4 linked regions of the Drosophila melanogaster genome follow. The protein of the gene in region 1 interacts with the protein of each later gene in a pairwise test. Each region holds a gene or a part of one and is shown in the gene's direction. Other genes may lie near its edges.

The links.
Region 2: the proteins of CG10650 (region 1) and CG13840 interact in a two-hybrid assay, tested with the Drosophila melanogaster proteins (one large-scale study listed by BioGRID).
Region 3: the proteins of CG10650 (region 1) and H2.0 interact in a two-hybrid assay, tested with the Drosophila melanogaster proteins (one large-scale study listed by BioGRID).
Region 4: the proteins of CG10650 (region 1) and Sirt4 interact in a two-hybrid assay, tested with the Drosophila melanogaster proteins (one large-scale study listed by BioGRID).

Annotation. Positions count from the first base shown.
Region 1 is NT_033779.5:18,992,834-18,997,800, reverse strand, and holds CG10650 (uncharacterized protein), read left to right. Parts: upstream 1-1,866; 5' UTR 1,867-1,946; coding exon 1,947-2,022; intron 2,023-2,088; coding exon 2,089-2,199; intron 2,200-2,779; coding exon 2,780-3,664; intron 3,665-3,809; coding exon 3,810-4,015; 3' UTR 4,016-4,441; downstream 4,442-4,967. Other genes in the region: CG46465 (uncharacterized protein), read right to left, coding at 4,570-4,967.
Region 2 is NT_033777.3:22,813,961-22,817,845, reverse strand, and holds CG13840 (uncharacterized protein), read left to right. Parts: upstream 1-1,667; 5' UTR 1,668-1,808; coding exon 1,809-3,209; 3' UTR 3,210-3,363; downstream 3,364-3,885.
Region 3 is NT_033779.5:6,013,362-6,021,230, reverse strand, and holds the start of H2.0 (homeodomain protein 2.0), read left to right. Parts: upstream 1-1,828; 5' UTR 1,829-2,037; coding exon 2,038-2,554; intron 2,555-7,134; coding exon 7,135-7,631; intron 7,632-7,733; coding exon 7,734-7,869. Other genes in the region: CG13996 (uncharacterized protein), read right to left, coding at 1-14, 67-381. UniProt on the Drosophila melanogaster protein: May play a role in pattern formation during embryonic and imaginal development. Is not essential for visceral muscle morphogenesis.
Region 4 is NC_004354.4:5,664,123-5,667,502, reverse strand, and holds Sirt4 (sirtuin 4), read left to right. Parts: upstream 1-1,562; 5' UTR 1,563-1,634; coding exon 1,635-1,815; intron 1,816-1,875; exon of another isoform or gene 1,876-2,016; coding exon 2,017-2,774; 3' UTR 2,775-2,875; downstream 2,876-3,380. Other genes in the region: CG4119 (uncharacterized protein), read right to left, coding at 1-293, 705-946, 1,035-1,097. UniProt on the Drosophila melanogaster protein: NAD-dependent protein deacylase. Catalyzes the NAD-dependent hydrolysis of acyl groups from lysine residues.

The DNA of each region.
Region 1 (4,967 bases):
CCTGCTACTCAGGTAAAATTTATTCCACACGCCTTCAACGTCACTGGCACTTTAAAATCTTGAACTTCTACTATAATATAATGACCAGCATTTTTGGTCTTCTGCAAAGAAGTCGTTACCAAGAATCTAAAGCTTTTTGTAATTTGTTGACGTAGGTTTCCGAGATCTCGACGCTTATATGGACAGACATAGTCGGATCGAATGATCAAAAATATTTATACCTTCTAGGCTTGAAGTCACTTGCACTTTTCAACGTATAACATGCTTTCCAACGAACTAATTTATTAAATTGCAATGCCAGAAATTCAACTAAACAGCAATACGTCCGCGCGTAGAAAAGATCTTAAAGGTACTGAGTGTGAGCAACATGATTAGCTCTCGGTGCTAAATTCGCCGGAGATAACCCAGATTAGATTTCGGTTATATTTTTTGAAGATAATGGCTTTATGTTGAATACCAGTCTGGTTCAAAAAAACCTTAAATGATATGCTAAAGATAAAAAGATATAAAAGTATGTACTTACTATTTGTACTTTGTTTTATTGAATCATTTTGTCTAGACTTCAACTTAAACCTTAATAACATAAAACACCGGCATGTGCAGAATTTAAGAAGTCGCCCAAATACAATAAATAATAATAATTTTTATTAAGACACTGAGAGAAAAATTAAGTTTCGATATTAAATTAGGAACGAACGATAAAAAAAAAAAAAACTTAAAAGCAAACACATAAGTTCAAGAACGAGTAACCGAAATTATAAACTTGAGAACGAACGTTCACATATAAACAAAAGTCTCACTTCAATCCTCAAGTATCGTTAAGATATATGACTTGTAGTTAAGGCACATTGTTTATATGTTATTAGCCAGAAAATTGGGCAATACAGCTTTACATATATAATTGTACACTTTCCTCGTAGAATATAAGGGTTAAAAACTATGAAACAAGAAAGTGTTTTTGACCCTACAAATGTGTATTTATTCAATTAAATCTGGGTATCTGATAGGAATTGAGTTCTTTCTTGTTAGTTCAAATTACATTATTTTTTTTATCAATGGAACTATAGTCAATCCATAATCAAATGGAAAGTTTGTCGAACCTGTAAAATCTGGAAATTGAGATTATTCATGCAGTTTTTGGTGGCGCCTTTTATTTTTATACCCTTGCAAATGGTACATTGATTTCATTCAGATTCGTATATTCAACAGTAGAGTCGATACAGTCATGTTTGTCTTCGTTCAATTTCAGTTAGTATACATATAGGTTGGACCACTATATCATATTGCTGTTATAGGGATAATCGAAAAATAATGGTAAGTATTAATATATGTATGAGATATACAACAGTTTTTGACCATATTTTAATTTGATGAAAATCAAAAGAAAATATATCATATAACTGCCGTACAGCCAAGGCAAACCAAATTTTAATTAAAGTATTTAATTATCGTTATAATTGTGTTCAATTATCCGCCGGCTAGATCGGAAACAGGAAGTTACTGTTGATGTATATTCGTTTAAGGAAATACGGTAAGAACGTTGGCAGCATGGGTTAATTTTTCAGCTTTTGCAAAAGCTCCAAAGTAAATGCAGGCTTGTGGTAACTATCATCGCATGTGAACAGCGTTGTACACACACACACTTGCACATTTACACCTGGGTATTGAAGTTATCAGCTAAAAGAGAACTGACTTCCTCCGATTGTACATATATATATATATATATATATATATGTATACAAACATATATATGTGTGTAGAGCAGATAACCACTGCATGCGGAGAAGAGCTTGGCAGGTGTTAGTGAGTTCAGGTGAAATTGATTATGCGAATGGGGGTAAAAAAAATATGGCCAAACAGTGAGGGAGCCAGTTAAAAAACGGTGGTCGATCCAGCCGGTCCGACATTTCAGTTGAGAAGCCAGAAAGAATAGAAAACCGAGAGCCATGAGAGAATACAGCCTGTGTATGATTGTGATAGCAGCTTTCATTGCCAGCCAGCTGGACAGCACCTCAGCCCTCCGTAGGTTACCACATTTTGGATGAGTTTTTTCAAATGACTTACTTCAAATTATTATTGCCATTGCAGAGTGCTATTCGTGCACATCGACGACGAATGACACTGGAAATTGTTTAACGAGTCCATCTACTCAAACTTCTATAGAGTGTGATAATGAATGCTATACTCTTATTAACGCAGGTGGGTTTGTATGACTCATGACCGACTATTTCATATTCTTAGACGGGGGTAGTGGCCCTCTTATCGATCAGTGCAACCAAAGGTGATAAGCGATTATCTCTTTTTCTTTTTGATAGCTATTGATCCTTGTTTTCTTTTCTAATTTCGTGCGGATCGAAAAAGGTTTATGATGTTGTGACTCATTTGGCAGTTACTGCACTACCTGGCTTTTTCGTGTTGTTGTCTAAGATTTAAATATTGCGTATAATTTGATTTAATAACGAAGAGAACGCTAAAGTGGAGTCACTCGACCATCAGATACCTCTTTATTCAGCTTGTGGGAGTTTAAGGTACACATTTAAACATTCTGTTGAAGTATCAGTAGAATCTGGCACGCTTTGTGGGCTTTAGAGTGGGCGTGAAAATGATCTGAATGAAATTAGCACAGCTTAGGCGCCACTAGAATCTGCAGGCTCTCAACTTATAAGGAATATATAAGTTATATTAGAAATCATTATAAGTTTATATTAGAAATCATACGAAGTTTTGCTCTGAACCATATTCCCTTGCATCTAGTTATTGATTTTCTGTATCCCAATAGGAACTCTAACTCGTGGCTGCTTGATTAATGGCACTGCGTGCACCTTACCATCCTGCTCGACCTGCAAGGAAGACAATTGCAATTTGAATTTGGTGTGCCAGCAGTGCCTCGGCGAAGCGAATTGCGCCACGACCAACGTGACGGATACGCAATACAATGCAGTGTGCCCCAATAATGGACAGGTCTGCGTGAATCAGTTGAATGACAACAAGACGGTGACCCGTCAATGTGGTGACCCCTGTGCTGCTGGAACGGAATCCACGTGCTCCTCATGCTCGGCATCCCTGTGCAATGTGGGACTATTCCCCGCCAATCGTCGCCAGTGCTATAATTGCTCAGGAGAGAACTGCAATGCGGTCTCAAATACCTTGGTCGCGGGATGTAGTCAAATCGATGCCGGGTGCTTCACCACCGGAACGTCTGCGAGCAACATGACCCGTGGTTGCACATCGGCCACCACGGAAATCAAGTGTGCGTCGGACAGCACTGATCCCAGTTGCCTCGTCTGCAACTCCGACTTTTGCAATAGTCCGACCTACGAACGAGAGGCCGGTTCCTGTATCATTTGCGAGAACTGTGCGGAGCAACAGGTTGCTACCAATGCGAAGTCCTGCGGACAGGCCAAGTACAACCAGGAAGTCGGGTGTTATACCATGACCTCAGGAACCAATGTTACCCGAGGGTGCCTAAACACCTTGGAGGCTGGCTGCTCTACAACCAATGCCTGCACTTCCTGCTCCGAAAATGGCTGCAATGTGGCTGCCGGCGAGTTCCAGTGCATTACATGCATTTCGAATGAGGTTTCCGGCTGCTGGTCGGCCAAATATCCGGACACGCTCCCTTTGATCAACTGCCCCAATGGAACGTGCTACAGCGGAGTCTGGAGTAAGTTGGTACCAAGTCTAAGCACAGCGAATCAATGCTATAGTTTTCAAAGATTTTATTTTATAATGTAAAAGGGTATTCCCAAATTGCATTATTATTATGCCAGCAAAAATCCTAACAATTGCCTTTCAACATTTTCCCCCAGATGAACTTGGAGTGCGAGGATGTTTTACCGCTGCCAGCCACCTGATGCAGTACCAGTGCAATGCCAAAGTGGAGGCCCATCAGTGCGAATTGTGTACGGAGAGCAAGTGCAACAAGGTACCCTTCAATGGAGCAGGCGCACTCAGGAATGTGGGCGTGGTCGGCCTTCTGACGGGAGTGGTGATCGCTCTACGCAGTGCCCTGTAATCCAACCACCTCCACGTAGTTGGATGATCCAATCAAATTACCGGGTGCCTGGGTCTATGAGTAATGTTAACTATTACAAAGCAACAGACAAAAAGACATAACCTAATTATAGGAGCTGAAGCATTTTAAGAACACTTCCATAATCCCAAATAAATCATTTTAATAAAACAATTACTCTTTCACAGTAGTTTAGTAATTATGTCCTTGGAAAACCCTGTTTTCATTGATGGCTAGTGGTAAAAGAGTTTTCAACCTGCTAGGCCTTATCAAATAAAGAAATAATCACAACGCCTTATCAACCGCAGTACCATTAATAATATACTTTGTACATATATGTGTGTATATTTATTGCATCAATCAAAATGAGAGTTTATATTAACAATAGTTCGAAGAAATTTGTTTGGGTGCACTAGAAGAGCCAGTTGGAAATGTCTCAGAAAGTATTTGTAGCATTCTTAGGTAACTCAAATTACATTTTCCATTACATGACGATGGTGATTTCGCCGAATTCCATAATTTTGGTTTTCAATTTGCCATTATTAAGCTGAACAGGCCTATAATATAATCATAAGTTTGCATTTTTCACTCCTAAAGAGCCAGCCGGCTAAACAGAAGATCATTAGACTTGAGTATATTATTCGCGATCCTGCATTCGTGGCCAAACCATTTTTATCTATTTCCACATAGTTGCAATCGTCTTCGAAACACCTCTCACAGAGTTCTGCATGTTTCTCGCAGTGTTCCAGTGAACTCTCGTCCATGTCGGAAATGCAGCTTCTCACCATAAAGCCATCTGGTCCTCCAGCACTGCTGTTGAAGTTGAAGTACATAGATACGCAACCGTTCAATTCGCCTAACTTTATGTGGCACATCTTTTTGCCCTTCCTAGTTCTGGTTTTCCCCTCATTGGGTGAGCAAAATTTACAACTGAGGCATCTTATAGGCGGAGAAA
Region 2 (3,885 bases), on another chromosome or scaffold:
TCGATTTTTTCTACTCACTTTTTTTTATTTTCTGTTCTTTTTTTTTTTAGTAGATTTTTTTCTTTACACATTTTGGCCATGTTAAGCTGGGTGGCTAGCTGGCTGGCTTCTTTTCTATGGGAACTTTGCTAAAATATGCTTCACAGGGCTTGAAAGCATTTGAAGTAATGAAAAAGAAGCGAAAAAAATTGCATCCAACAAGTATAACACACACACTCTCGTTCCAGGTGATATGGATGGGGAGGTTTAACTGTACAGTGAAGCTGCGCAAAATTTAACGAAGCTTAACCTCATTCAATGTGAAAATACACTTTACTTGTACTTTGCGCTGTTATTTCAAAAGTGCGGTGACGGTGGGCGTTGCTGCTAACGCCGCTCTAAGGGGGCGTGGCTAAGGTGGGTCTATATATATACAAATATATATATATATATGTATATAGAGAAAGGTGGCGATGCGAACCTGGTGAACTTTGCAAACTTAAATGCAGAGCAGAATGATGAATGATCCAAGGATGCCAGGCTAGCAACGAAAAGAACTCGCTCTATCTCCGTTTTTCGCCGACTTTCCCTTGATTTCCCGCCAGAGGCAACTACTCGCAGAGAAAATCACAAATATAAGATTAAAATCGGAAAATAACACTACAATACTTTAAACGAACTACGAATGGCAGAAAACACAAAAATGGTAACTAAGGTATAATATATCTATGTATCACATATTAAATGTATCTTCAATTCTACAAACCTGAATATAGAAATATTATAATCTTATATCAACTATTTTGCTGAGTGCACTATAAAATCGCTGAGAATGCTATTCCCGCAAAGGTTCTTTAAAATTGAATCACTTTAGACCCAAAGTGCATTGTCAGCTTTGAGTGAGTGAAGGCGTGGCTGGTAAATTATGCAAGAGCAACGATACCAAATGTCGTCGAATGCATCCAGATGAAAATTGAAAGTGCTGCAATCCGAGATCTCAGACGCGTTTCAAATCTCCGGCGATTGCACTTGGCAAAGACCGGACCGCAAGCACATGAAGCGCACGTCACCATTTGTGCAATCAAACATCGGAATGGCCGCGACATTGACCGCAAGCTGCCACACAGTGTGAAATCCGATGCGGCTGGGAGCCAACCGGTGCACAGTGGTTACAGCTATGTTGAAAATTATCAAATATTATGCTAGCTTAAAAAGGAAGCAATATTTATGCACTCAAAACAAAACTTACTTAATTTAATAACTTCATTTTTACCATTTTTATCACATCCACAATAGATTTTCTTTTTTAATTTTTGAGCCCTATTAGACCACAGTGCATAGGTCGATGTGCATTGCGGGCTAGCAATTGCGGTATAGCTGCGTATTTTGTGATTGCGAATTGTGCGGACAGCGGATCGCCGCCTCACTTGCATCTGAAAGGAACAACCAGAAAGGGACTATCTGGAACAGTTGGTGTGTGCCGCCGAGTGAAAGTGAGTGCCTGGGCATGGGCTTCCACTTACACAATCCATGGTGGATTGGCCAATGAACTTGAAGTGCCAACGAGGATATCCAATTACAAGTAGAGCGCTCCAAGCATTTGAAGAGTGTGTGTGTGCTATAAAAACAGCATCGCGATGTCACAAATTTGCATTTCAAAGCGGAGCAACACCCACGCCAGCTGCATCCAAACACGCACTCCGTTGGCGGATTGGAACAAAGGATATAGGACACAGGAGTTCAGGATTTCAGGACACACACAACCACCCAACGTTATGGGGCGGCCAAAATCCGGCCAAGGCTTTGGGTCACCTGCCACCAGTTCATTAATGATCTATGCATTAATGTGGCTCGCTTTGGCCATGACAATGGAGGCCATAGATGCCCCACTGCCCCTATCCCTGGCGGAGTACCCGCTCGGCCTGTCGCTGGAACATGGCAGCAAACACCATTACCAGGATGCGGGTGTGGACTCGTTGCCGGGATTAACAGGATATACGCGAAATTATTATGGCCCCACTGACACTGCAGCCGGCGATGACTTGGCAACATATGGAAATTATGCTCACAAACTCCTGGCCGCCACCCATCAACAGCACCATCGCCATTCGCAATCCTCCCTTGGCACCACGGCCAATGGCTTTGTGCCCTTCTACTACAACAGCAAACTGCACTCGCCATTCACCGCGGATGAGGAGCCGCGTCGCGACCCATCCGCCAATATCGATTTTGTCATTAATACGGCAAATTATGAGCCAAATTCCGCTGGCTACGATGTGGAGCCACATCATGGGGAGCAGCACTACGAAAGCTATGCATATCGGCCGCGGGTGCAGTTTGCCACATCGCTACCCGGTCCCAGCGATTACCATTTCGAACAAATTTCCAATTACCGGGAGAATCGCCAGCGGGAGCAGGAGGTGGAGCAACATCAGCAGCAGCAGCACCAGGAGCAGGAGGATATTACTAGTATCTATGCGCGGCTCAAAGAACTCCAGACACCGGCCAATCCAGTTAAGCGTCAGCAGGAAGAGTCCCTATCGAGTCATCATCCAAACCGGGAGCAAAGCCAGCCACTGGAGCAGCGACATTATCAGCAACCTGAAAGCAGACAGCTGCAACAGCCACACTTGCAACAACATCTGCAACAAAAGCGGCCACATGCGCTGCAATATCCTCAGGATCAACGGCATCACCAGCGCCTGGGAGTTGCCCAGGACCAGCAGATGTTGTACTCTCACAAGGATAGCCAGATTGCAGATCTCCCAGCCATAACCACCAGTGTGCACCATACTCCGGAGAGCAGTAAAGCGGTAGCCGGATTGCCGTTGGCCAAGCACATCGAGATCACTAAGAGTGTGCCCATCACCCACTATCAGAAGCAGCATGTGCCCTTCAAGCAGAACGTCCAGGTGCAAGTGCCACGAACCGTGATCGCAGCCATACCCAAGCCCATGCCCATCAAAATACCAGTGGCCCAAACGGTGGCCGTGCCCCAGATGCAAGAGGTTAAGATTCCCATCGAACGGGTGAAGCCGGTGCCCGTGGAGCGGCCCATTCCCTTTGTGGTTGAGCGCAGGGTACCCTACCGAGTGGAGAAGCCGGTGGTCTCGCCAGTTTATTATCCGTATCCGGTCAAAGTGCCAGTGGTGCGCACGGTGGTGCACAAGCAGCGCCCCCACTACGTGGCACCCGGCTGGAGTGCCAACGGCAATCATCTGCTGGGATGAGTCTATCTTAAGAATAAATTCTTAAGCCAGTTTTATACCCTTGCAAAAGGGGTTTTTTGATTTGTAAAGTAAAAGTACAAACTGTAGGGTAGTCGATAAATATATTTTTGGTGGAATGTTCTTAAGTTGAATTAAATACATTTATTAATTTTTCATGTTATGCAGTTTGATTAACGGCTAGAGTATTTCAAATTCAGCTTATGCCTTAATTTCTAGTGACTGAACCCCAAAAAGTAATTGCAATTAGCAAAACAAGAAGACAAAAAAGGCCACCGACAGCAACTGCAGTGTGGCTGCAAAAGCATCCAGCATGCAACTCCTTGATCCCAAATCCAAGTTTCTAACTCCCAGTTAACAGCTACCAAACAAAACAACACATTCGGAGTCGAAGTTGAAGTTGGAGTCACAGGGCAGGTCCCAAACCGAAATGAAGAAAAGTAGCCGAGTAAAACTTTTTAATTGAGCTAAAATCCAACAAATGCGGCTAATAAATATGTATTGAAGTGCGATGGGCAGAACGAGGCTGAAGTCCGGTTGCAATGCAAAAGGGGGCTGCAGCGAAAGTGCAAGAAAATGCAGCGGCTAATTGCCAAATGTAACTCCAGTTGAAACAACTTTTAACTGAAACAGCAGAAGGAGCAACAATGACGCACAAATAAACGCGACGTTCAACTTC
Region 3 (7,869 bases), about 13 Mb from region 1:
TCCCGAAAAGTTTGCTGTAACGAAGCTATAGGTTACCCAACATAGTGAGTAAGAATCTTAGCCCACCTCGTACTCGGGATAACCAAAGTTGCGCAGCCAGTCGGTCACATCGTTGATGCTCCACTTGAAGACCTCAGTGCGGGCTTGGGAATCCACGACGGCGGCGCAGAGATTGAAGAGCGAGTCCGGCGAGGCCTTGAAGGGTAGCGGCACATCCTCCTTGTCGTACTCCACGTCCGGAAACATGTAGCTGGGATAGCGAAAGCAGAACTCCTGCTCATCCTGCGGCGGCTCACAGATATCCGGACTGTCCATGCCACTGGCACTGTGCGGCAGTGGTGACGGTATGGTGGAGCACCTGGACGCTGAGAACGACTCCATTCGAGTGGTGGCAGCGCACTGTTCCTGGGCCAAAGTGAATTGAGTTGCCCCGCAACGATTTGGTTGCGGTTTCCAGCGATTCCTCAAGAATAAGTGGCGTTCGTGTCTGTTTACATAGTTTGATTGCGTTTCGCTTTCATTTGTTGTATGCCCTATAATTTTCCGGGAAAAGTTGTTGGCTACAATCACTAAGGCTCAATTTGCACTTTAAATGGGTTAATGGAATTTAAGCCATGCTCTTTCCAATCAGTATCTTTGAACGTTCGGCATATCCTGGAATGTATCTGAATCTTTTTTTTTAAGTAAAAAGGATTATTTTATTATTAATCGGACTTCACTTTGAAGAGGATAAAAGTGTCACCGACTGGCGATGGATTTTCCGCTGCCATTGCATTTGCATATTCCACATTTTCTGGGTCACTTTGTGGGCTTGTGGTGCTAGGGTGTTTTTGGCACCAAATCCGCCCGCTTGGATGGGAGTTTTGTGCCGGAAAGTATGCTATCTTAAGGTAGTCACGACAATTTTCCTATTAATAACGCCAGTTTCGCTCCGCAATTTACACATTTCTACTTAAGTTTTCCAACCCCGACGATCCGTTCGTGTTCCGTTTTGCGGATTTCCGCTTGTGGAATGCGGTTTCTGATTTATGACCACCAGTCCCGGTTACCCACTTCATTGAACCCAGACAGCGTGGAGCAGGTGGAGTTCGCGCAGATCGCTCAATCCCAAGCCAATGGAAGGCACATTCCTTGGGCGCGAAAGCGAGATGCCGCATCAGCGCCACCAGTGGCTCCGCCCACCACTGCGGATCGATCGCATTGGCCAGAAATCACGAACCACGAGCCACTCGACATGGCCTCTGCGCAGGGAAACCGGAATTCGGATGGGGTGTGTGTGTCTGTGTGTGGGAGTACGGGAACATATGGAGAAATCGGTAAACAAATCTCGGCTGCGCTCGAGGAAACGATCTCCGACTGAGCTAATGACACAGCGGCATGCTTGTGTGTAAACAAGCGATCGGCATGGCAAGGTATCCCATCTGTGTGTGGCTACAGTGGGATCAGGTCTATGGTAAGTGGATTAACATAATTTTAGGGCACTTTCTAGAGGTATATAGATCTTCAGCGGAATAGAAACCAATGTTACCACCAACCGAAGCCCAAAAATCTAATCTTTCTTGATAGTATTACTCTTCTTGAGTATTACTTTATAAACAATATACACGTTGGATAAAAAAATATCCTGGTTTGTATATCCTGTATATCGAACATATAGCCATTATTTATTGTTAGCATTATATCCTGATCATCTCGCACTCCTTGCCCCACTGTCAGCACCAGGAATACACAATCTCAGCGAGATTAACCCCACCGCCAACAGACTGTTCCGCGTTGGCTGGCCGATCGGCAATCGATGGCTGGTTGAGCGTGCTCCCTGGCCGGTTCCGATCAGTTCTGAGTGGGATGTCTTGCAAGGCGGTTTAATCGGAGGTGCACGAGACCTAAGCCAAAATTCGCGATCGTTTTATTGGTGCACAGCGACGGTGTTTTGGACATGATAGATAGTCCCTATCGATTGTGAACGTGTGAAATCAGTTTTGAGTGTCCTGTGTCGAGATTCGTAGATAGAAACCATATACAACACATATCCGGACAATGTTACTACACGAGAGTGCCGCCAGCATGGAACAGAGTATGCCCGAGAACCTCAGCACTCACATGTACGGCGAGTGTGAAGTGAATCCAACGCTGGCAAAGTGTCCCGATCCAGTGAATGTCGATCATGAGCTGCCCACCAAAGAATCCTGTGCCTCGACTACCATAGTCAGTACGTCGCCAACCAGCGCCACGAGCACCACCAAAGTCAAGCTGAGCTTCAGTGTGGATCGTCTGTTGGGCTCGGAACCCGAGGAATCCCACCGGCAGAGCTCCTCCTCGCCCTCGACCAAGTCATGCTGCGATGGCAGCATTCTAGCCTGCTGCTCCTTCCCCCACTGCTTCAGCCAGGCGAATGCCGAATCCCGTAGGTTTGGACATGCCACGCTTCCGCCCACTTTCACACCCACTTCATCGCACACGTACCCCTTCGTGGGTCTGGATAAGCTGTTCCCTGGCCCCTATATGGATTACAAATCAGTGCTCAGACCGACGCCAATTCGGGCAGCAGAACACGGTAAGGATGCACTATACTCAAAAGGGAACATCCTTTGAATCCGAGCAGGTTTTACAAAAAAAATGTCCATTTGAAAGTAAATCATTCAAAATTACCATTAAGTGCACGGCATTTGGAACATCATGAGCAAACCGAGTTGATAGAAGGAAAACATTTAATCTCTGTAAGGGATGCCTTAAATTAATATGAACTATATTGGTACTGATCCGTATTACATGGATTATAGGTACCTAAGTGTATTTTTAAGATACTTTTAAACTTAAAAGGAATCAGCTCCATACAGAAAGCTATTGAAACATCATTCGTTCGCAGTGAACCTCTTCTAGTTCCAACAACGTACCACTTATCAAAATAATATTTTATACCCATGACTCTATCTTGTAGATACGATCTATCATCTGCACTATTTCAATCTCCCCGTATGTTGTGTGCACTTGCAGCGCCAATAAAACTGATCAAAGCTAATCAGATATTGCGATTTGTCAATCATTCTGCATTCTTTCCATGGAAATATGCAGGATCTCAGGGAACGATCAAACGAGTTGATGAGGTGGCTTCGCCATTTGCCCATCAAAATTCCTTAGCTATTTCGCTCTGTTTTTCAATTATGGACTATAATTATTAGCCATGTTGAGATTTGCAGAGAAAATCGTGAAATGGAATTTAGCCAAATGGGAAATGAACATTCCTGGAAACACAAAGAGTGAGAACCTAAGGCGCAGCCCCAATAAATTTCACGTTTTTATTTGAATTATTAGTTGATCTGCAGCCATATTGTGCAATATTCCTGCGGCCAAATGTTCCGCGCCTTTGGCTCTTGACGAAAACAATTCGATTTTTGAAATCGACAACAAAATAGTCCGGATTGTTTTGGGTATTTGCCGTACTTCCTGCTGTTTTTGTATATCTGGGGACGAAGACTTCTTATAAAGCCTGCAGGCTGCCAGCGCACTTTGATCTTGTTTATGTGAAAATGGAAATGGAAATGGAAATAGTGAGAGCAACATAATCGGTAAATGTTTCGCTTTTCGAATAGAAATTGTTCATTGTTTAACAAGCTGCTTGAGTTTTATACATATCGTCAGCACAGCCTTTTCCCATTCAATATTGTACACAATTCTTATCAAGTGGGTGCTAACAATGCGAGGGCCTTAAACGATCTTAAAGATCTTTTGCGGATAAATGAGATACATATTTGGTTTGGGATTCCTCAATGGATAAATTGATTAGGAAATGTCTGAGATATTAATTTATTTCAAAATAAGAGACCCGCAAATATGTGGAGCTATACTAAAATGATGTGTAAATGGTATTAGCGAGCTTAACTTAAAGCTTACTATAGTTTAGACCTAGTTACAAGTAGCAAAATACAATTTTTTAACAGCCGACTAAAACATATTCAAAAAAGACTTTGGTTGATTCATCCAACGTAAATTCGATACTAATAGCCCTTTAAATTCCGCCAAATTCCAGCACACGATTAAATTATGTAGCAAAATTAGCGCCAAACTTAAATAAATTACACTTCACACAATGATGGAACATTAATGAAAATTATCATCAGTGCTAAGTGGTTTTCAAACACATTTGCTCAGCCAAAAATGGGAGGAGCAATTAGTAAGGCGAATAAATTCGACATAGCTCAATCAACAAAAGATCGGTAAAAAAAAAACGAAGAACAGACAGCACCTGAAAGGCTTCATCAATCCTTTGGGCACCGCAAATAGATGAGATGCCAAAGACCAAAGTGGAAAATTAAGAACAATTTATGAACAAATTACGAGTCAGTCTTTAAAAATAAACTTCAAGCTCACACGGATCGTGGAAAACGTTTGTGGCGAACAGTTTGTTTATTTGCTTGGGCAATTGGCCCGTCATTCATGGGCAGATACAGATAGCTATCCATCTAATTGCCCGCTCTCTAATGAATTGTTCCGCCGGCCGAGGAGTTCGACAGGTGGAGGCATCTTTGGCCCGGCTAGAGACGCGGATCTCTGATAGATTGGGCGCCACGGTTCCAACTACTGCGGCTCAACCGACTCCAATGAGGCTCGGCTGCCGTTTAGGCCAACGACAGGGAACTGCTGACCGATGGATGACTGTACCGGGTATGGGTACGGGCACGGGCACGGGTGAAACTATGCGCTGTTCTTTGGGGGCCGAGCCAAAAGGCCAAGTATTTACACAACCACCCACTGTGGTGGCCTTTTCAGGAGGAGGCTACCCTGTGGCTGCCCGCCGTGTCCAACCTGCCGGCCCCTGCGGAATTATTCCGTGATGGATTGATTGCATCGCATCGCACATCATAAAATCATGGACCAGCGAGATCTCTGCGGCTCCTCCGTCGACTATTTGTTGCTGTTTGCCTGTCCCGCCTGGCGATGAGTAGTTTGTTGATCTGTTGTTGTTGCTCTTCTGGCTGCCGATCAATCGATCCATCCATCGATCGATTGGATGCTACAGACCATTGTCTGATATGGAAATTCTGTCTGAACAATAATCCGGCGCCGTGGGTCTAATTAATTAGCAATTTATATGTTAATCCAACTGATAGATGCACTTTCAAAGCGTTCGAAGATCCCTGATTAATGATGGCCCTCAGACGATTTCTTTTGGAACTTTGAAGACTCTTTCTCAAGTTCCCAACAGCAGGGGAGGGTTGTAGCAATAATAATTACCACGCACTCAACTCAAATTAACGGGACTGATATATGTATGTAGATACCACAACTATAGGATTAACTATAATGAATTGAGTGAAAATTGACGACAATCCCAAGTAGCTAAAGATATTTCACGAAATATACAATTGAAATATTAGCTATACTTTTGATTTCACTTAAATATTTTGAAAGTACATAATGCAGATAATATATCTTAGTGCATAGTTAGCTGGTAAAAGTCAGAGATTCGGATGTTCGGAAGTAGATACATATGTATAATATATTAAAATCAATCAAATAAACACATACTCCGCTTGTCGAGCTGGTAGTCGAAATTTCCATAGCACATGGCCCACTGGGAGTGCTCTGCTTAACCCCAAAAGATCATTCGCAATTTACCGCGAAATAAGCCACAATATTCGCCAAGTCGTAAATGTGGAATGCATCGTGCTAATAAATCGATGCAACTTAAATATGGCTGCGAAATGTACGATTCGCAAACACATCCTACTGGAGATGCATCTGCAACCCAGACCCTTGAGTGATTTAAGATGGCATCCGAAAAATTATCACAACTCATTAAGATATTTACGGGTCCGCTGGCGGTATTTTGTAAATGTATCTGAACGGGAAAGTCGGCAATTAATGATCTCGCGCTGTGAGTGAACCCCAATGCCCCGGCCAACATCCAAGGTGTTGAAAGTCGGTGAAAACTCATTATAACAAACCCCCGATGGTTGACACAAGCCAAATGCCAAAACGGCCAATTAAGGCGTTATTAGCCCCTGCAGATGTGCTGAGATTCCATTGGCGTTCCCGATGCAGATACACAAGCGCACGGATTGAGATACAATTGTATCCACAAGTGCAGAAGCGCATTTCCGCTGCAGTGTAAATACACACAATCGATCGAGTAGTGTGTTGCTTAAGTAAATAAAACGCTCGATCTCGAAAACAATTAGGCGCATGCCGCGAGCACACAAACAAATCGAATTCCACATAGCACAACGTTAAAAAGGCAATAAAAAATACCTATGATAATTTAGCGTTGGCTACAAACAAAGAGGAATGGTTTGCAGTTTGAAATCAAATAAAATTCAATGAAAAAGTCAAGGATAGGAATTAAAATTGTGGCCTTTTAACAACATCAGGATTACATTTCATATCAACATTAGTGAACATTATCGTGAACTGAGGATTCAAAGGAACTTTTTGTAGCATACTTTTCAGCGGAGTCCTTTGAGTTGATAAATGCCGTAATGATCTTGATTGAAACTCAGTAGTTAGATAAAGGATAGTAAATGCCAATAATGATTGGAAATACAATAGGAAAGTCAACGTCATTCGAATTGTTTCTTACTGCGTGTATAAATTCTTGGATATTTAAAAAACATTTAAGGGAAGTAAAGCACCCTGGTTCGACCTCAACCTCGTGTGCCCCATGTCGTGTTCGATTACCCCAAATAATTTTGGATCTCTAGAGGTAATTGTTGTTGTTTAGATTCGCGCTAGAAGTAAACAAATTTCGTTTGCCCCCCCTAGCCACAAAACGCTTCAATGATAATTTCCAATTAAGTGAAAATTTTATTATAAACAAGCCCATTTAAAAATTCTCAACATGCATTTTATTGATCAAAATAATTTACTCAGAAAACACAAAAAATTGAATTTCATATTTTCTTTGGCGAAACAAGTATCATTTCTTTGGCCGGCGATAAATGTATTATTTCCTGCGGATGCAATGTGCTACCAAGGGAGGATGTTGTCCATAACTAATGGTAGTTTTCCTATAAAAATAAATATCCAAATTGGTGCGTAAAAAACGCACCGGATTCAGTATAGCAACAAATTAAGAGTTATTGCTAATGAAGGAAGTATGAATCTCCCAATTGACTTTAACATTCCATTCCCGAACAGCCGCACCCACTTATCCCACGCTGGCTACCAATGCGCTCCTCCGCTTCCATCAACATCAGAAGCAGCAGCACCAGCAGCATCATCATCATCAGCACCATCCCAAACACCTCCATCAGCAGCACAAGCCCCCGCCACACAACTCGACGACAGCCTCGGCGCTACTGGCGCCGCTCCACAGCCTCACGAGCCTCCAGCTGACGCAACAGCAGCAGCGATTTCTGGGCAAGACGCCGCAGCAGCTCCTGGACATAGCGCCCACCTCGCCCGCCGCCGCCGCCGCTGCCACATCCCAGAACGGTGCACATGGACATGGAGGTGGCAATGGCCAGGGCAACGCCTCAGCCGGAAGCAATGGGAAGCGCAAGCGATCCTGGTCTCGCGCCGTCTTCTCGAATCTGCAGCGCAAGGGCCTGGAGATTCAGTTCCAGCAGCAGAAGTACATCACCAAGCCAGATCGCCGCAAGCTGGCGGCACGACTGAATCTCACCGACGCTCAGGTTAGTTAAAAGATGGGATTTTCATAGTTTAACATTTGCACATTCGACTCCTTTCATAGCTCTATAAAAACCAATATATTATTATTTTTATACCCTGATTAGGTCAAGGTGTGGTTCCAGAACCGTCGCATGAAGTGGCGGCACACGCGCGAGAATCTGAAGAGTGGCCAGGAGAAGCAGCCGAGTGCAGTACCCGAATCCGGAGGTGTCTTCAAGACATCCACGCCATCCGGTGATG
Region 4 (3,380 bases), on another chromosome or scaffold:
GGCGTGTCTTCTTATTGCGATTGGCGCTGCCGTACAAATCGGCGCGACTGCTGCTATCGAATCCTTCGAACTCGTGCTTGTGCTCTTCCAGGAATTCGTGCATCTGGGCAATGGCGAACTCGTCCTCGGTCTTTTCGTCCACTGGGTTGGAACGATCGCCGTTCTTGCACTCCTGCTCCTTGTAATCCTCGATGAGAACCTTGTTCTTGGCATCTACCTTGGCTACCAGCTTCTTGCCATCGATTTCCATCTCGCTGAGCAGGCGAACGGCTCGCATTGCCGCAATAGGTCCGCTGAAAGAATGCCAAGGAAAGCGGTTAGGCAGAGTATTTATAGGAACAATTGGAGAGCCAAATGGGTGGACTGCCCGTTGGCTCTAAACATAAATGTATGCAAGCTCAACCCTGTGTTGTATTGCTTAAAGTTAGGTTACTTAAAAGTGCTCGAGTAGTTATTCGATCGCGCATATAGAATTTGAAGAGCTGTCGCAGTAGGGAGCATTCCTAGAAGTATTTCAATCTTTTTATAAATAAGCTAAGCTATTCTAGGAAACGCATCAAACAACGAGTGAGATGCGTTATGCTGCTGTTTATGCAATGGCTCTTCAATTACTTTTCTAGCGTTATTTAACTAACGAAACCTTCTTGTGCTGCCCTAAGCCTTCTAAAGTGATTTTGGGATGACCGATTTATGGTTGAACGTACTCAAATTCGCAGAAGCCGAATGTGGACACCCGTTTCCAATTGATTACCACGCCGCAAGCGTTCAGGATGCGTTTGAGCAGTGCCTCCGGGACGCGTTCGCTGATGTTGCCCACGAAGACGGTAATGATGGGTCCGCGGAACTGTGGTTGCGGCTCCGGCGGACGTTGGTATACTGTCGGCTGTGAACTAATGGTGGCCGAGTTACGGAAGCTCCTCGGCGGCTTGGCCATGTTCTGCATTATCTGAAAGCGGATGGAGTAGGTGGAAAAGGATTTGGCGTCAGATTCTGACAGCTTCATGGTGATTGTGACCCAGAAAAGGTGGACTTACGTGCGGCGGCGGTATGGCTGTATTCATGAAGGGCGGCATGGGCGCCCGCGGCGGGTACGACATCTTGTGCGCTGCGACTCCTTTGCGATGTCCTTTGAAAACACAACTTTAGCGAGCTTGCAAAATTAAAGCCGACAATTCACAAACACACTCACGCACGCACAGACGAGCGACACACACACACACAGGCACGCACGGATGGGCGCAAACGCCACACGGAGTGATAAATATGTGTGTGAATGTCCTGTTTCGTGCTTACGAAGCTGGACGCCCGCAAGGTTCACTGATCGAATCTCGGAAAGGTTGGCCTGTAACTTCTGGGTTCACGGCGCGTGATAAATCCACGCGTAAATTACCGAATAGAATATCTTTTTTCTGCAGCCGTTGCTCTAGAGATGGTAGCTGCTGGCAAGCTGCTATCGGCTGATGGCGTGTAAAAATCGATGGGGGTCGTACAGTTATCGATTGCCATTGCGGGGCATACAATCGATTTACAGCGGTAAGCGACTGAAGGAGTTGCCATCGATGTGCGTGCGCTCACCTCTAGTAACGTAACCGAAAAAGAACCAAATATTACTTGCAATAATACATAACAAAACAATGCGTGTGGGCCAGCTGCTCCGCTTCCGGAGCACCAGCTTGCGCAGCTCCACCGCCAGGCAGGAGTACGTGCCGCATCACAAGCCCGTCGTGGAGGACGACATCAAACGGCTGGAGGACTTTCTCCTGTCCAAACCGAATGTTTTGGTTCTCACGGGCGCTGGCATCTCGACGGAATCGGGTGAGTTTCATGATTTTCCGACTTTTCTATGTTCAGAAGCCATTAACACAAATATTTCAGATTGACTTCCAAAAGCTTGTACATTATTCATTTATTTATATAATGCTAATGCAAGTGACTTCTAGCTTATACTTGGATTCGCATTAGTATTTTATTTAAATCAACATTTCTGGCTGTCTAAAAACTTGAAATAAATTCCAGGGATTCCCGATTACCGTTCCGAAGGCGTGGGCCTCTACGCCCGCTCCAACCACAAGCCCGTCCAGCACATGGAGTTCGTCAAGTCGTCGGCGGTGCGCAAGCGGTACTGGGCCAGGAACTTTGTGGGCTGGCCCAAGTTTTCTGCCACACAGCCCAATGCCACGCATCACGCGCTGGCCAGATTCGAGCGGGAGGAGCGGGTCCAGGCGGTGGTCACCCAGAACGTGGACCGGCTGCACACGAAGGCGGGCAGCCGAAATGTTGTGGAGGTTCATGGCAGTGGCTATGTGGTCAAGTGCCTGTCATGCGAGTACCGGATCGATCGTCACGAGTTCCAGAGCATACTGGCGTCGCTAAATCCGGCCTTCAAAGATGCCCCCGACATGATCCGGCCCGATGGCGATGTAGAGATACCGCTGGAGTACATCGAGAACTTCCGGATACCCGAGTGTACGCAGTGCGGCGGCGACTTGAAGCCGGAAATTGTCTTCTTCGGAGATTCTGTGCCTCGGCCACGAGTGGATCAGATTGCCGGCATGGTGTACAATAGCGATGGCCTGCTTGTCCTCGGGTCCAGTCTCCTGGTCTTCTCCGGCTACCGCGTTGTCCTGCAGACCAAGGACCTCAAGCTACCGGTGGGCATTGTTAATATTGGCGAAACGCGCGCCGATCACCTGGCGGATATCAAGATATCCGCCAAGTGCGGCGATGTCATACCCAAACTGTTCGACTTTCGCAATTCGAAAAGCGTCAGTTAATACTCACAGTTGTTATATGTTGACCCCCACTAAATTTGTAGTTATGGAAAGCCAGGCTTTCTATTTTAGCTAAAAAATAAATGTTAATGATTACTATTTGCAAATGGAATGTAGCGTTGCAACGGAGCTCCTGATTTATGGCTGTGCCTTTGGATCATTTTCGCGCAGGCTCCTCTGGAGCGAAACACAATGACACGCTTTCCGGGAAAAGGATTCGCTCATCCCCCAAGCACATGGGTTCCGAGTCCATGTCCTCTCTGTCTCTCTCAGTGTCCTGTGCTCTGAAATTCCAGCACATCCCAACAGGAAGCGGAAGCAGGAGCGCCGGGGAGAGCTGCGCACTTCCGCTCGCTCCCGTTGAATGTTTTTGTTTTTGCTCCAGGCCGCTGCTCTCAGTGCTCCATATAAATGAACCGCAATTGAGGCATCGGCATCTCCCGCTCGCACACACAAACACACATCGCACACACACATACACGGCCAGTGACACTTTTCACACGCGGTTCATTACCCCCCCTCCTACGACAATCGTCCATTCCTGCTAGAAAAACAATGCGTAGACCTCGCACAATGGGCAAAATCGAAGGACTGCTAAGAATAATAATA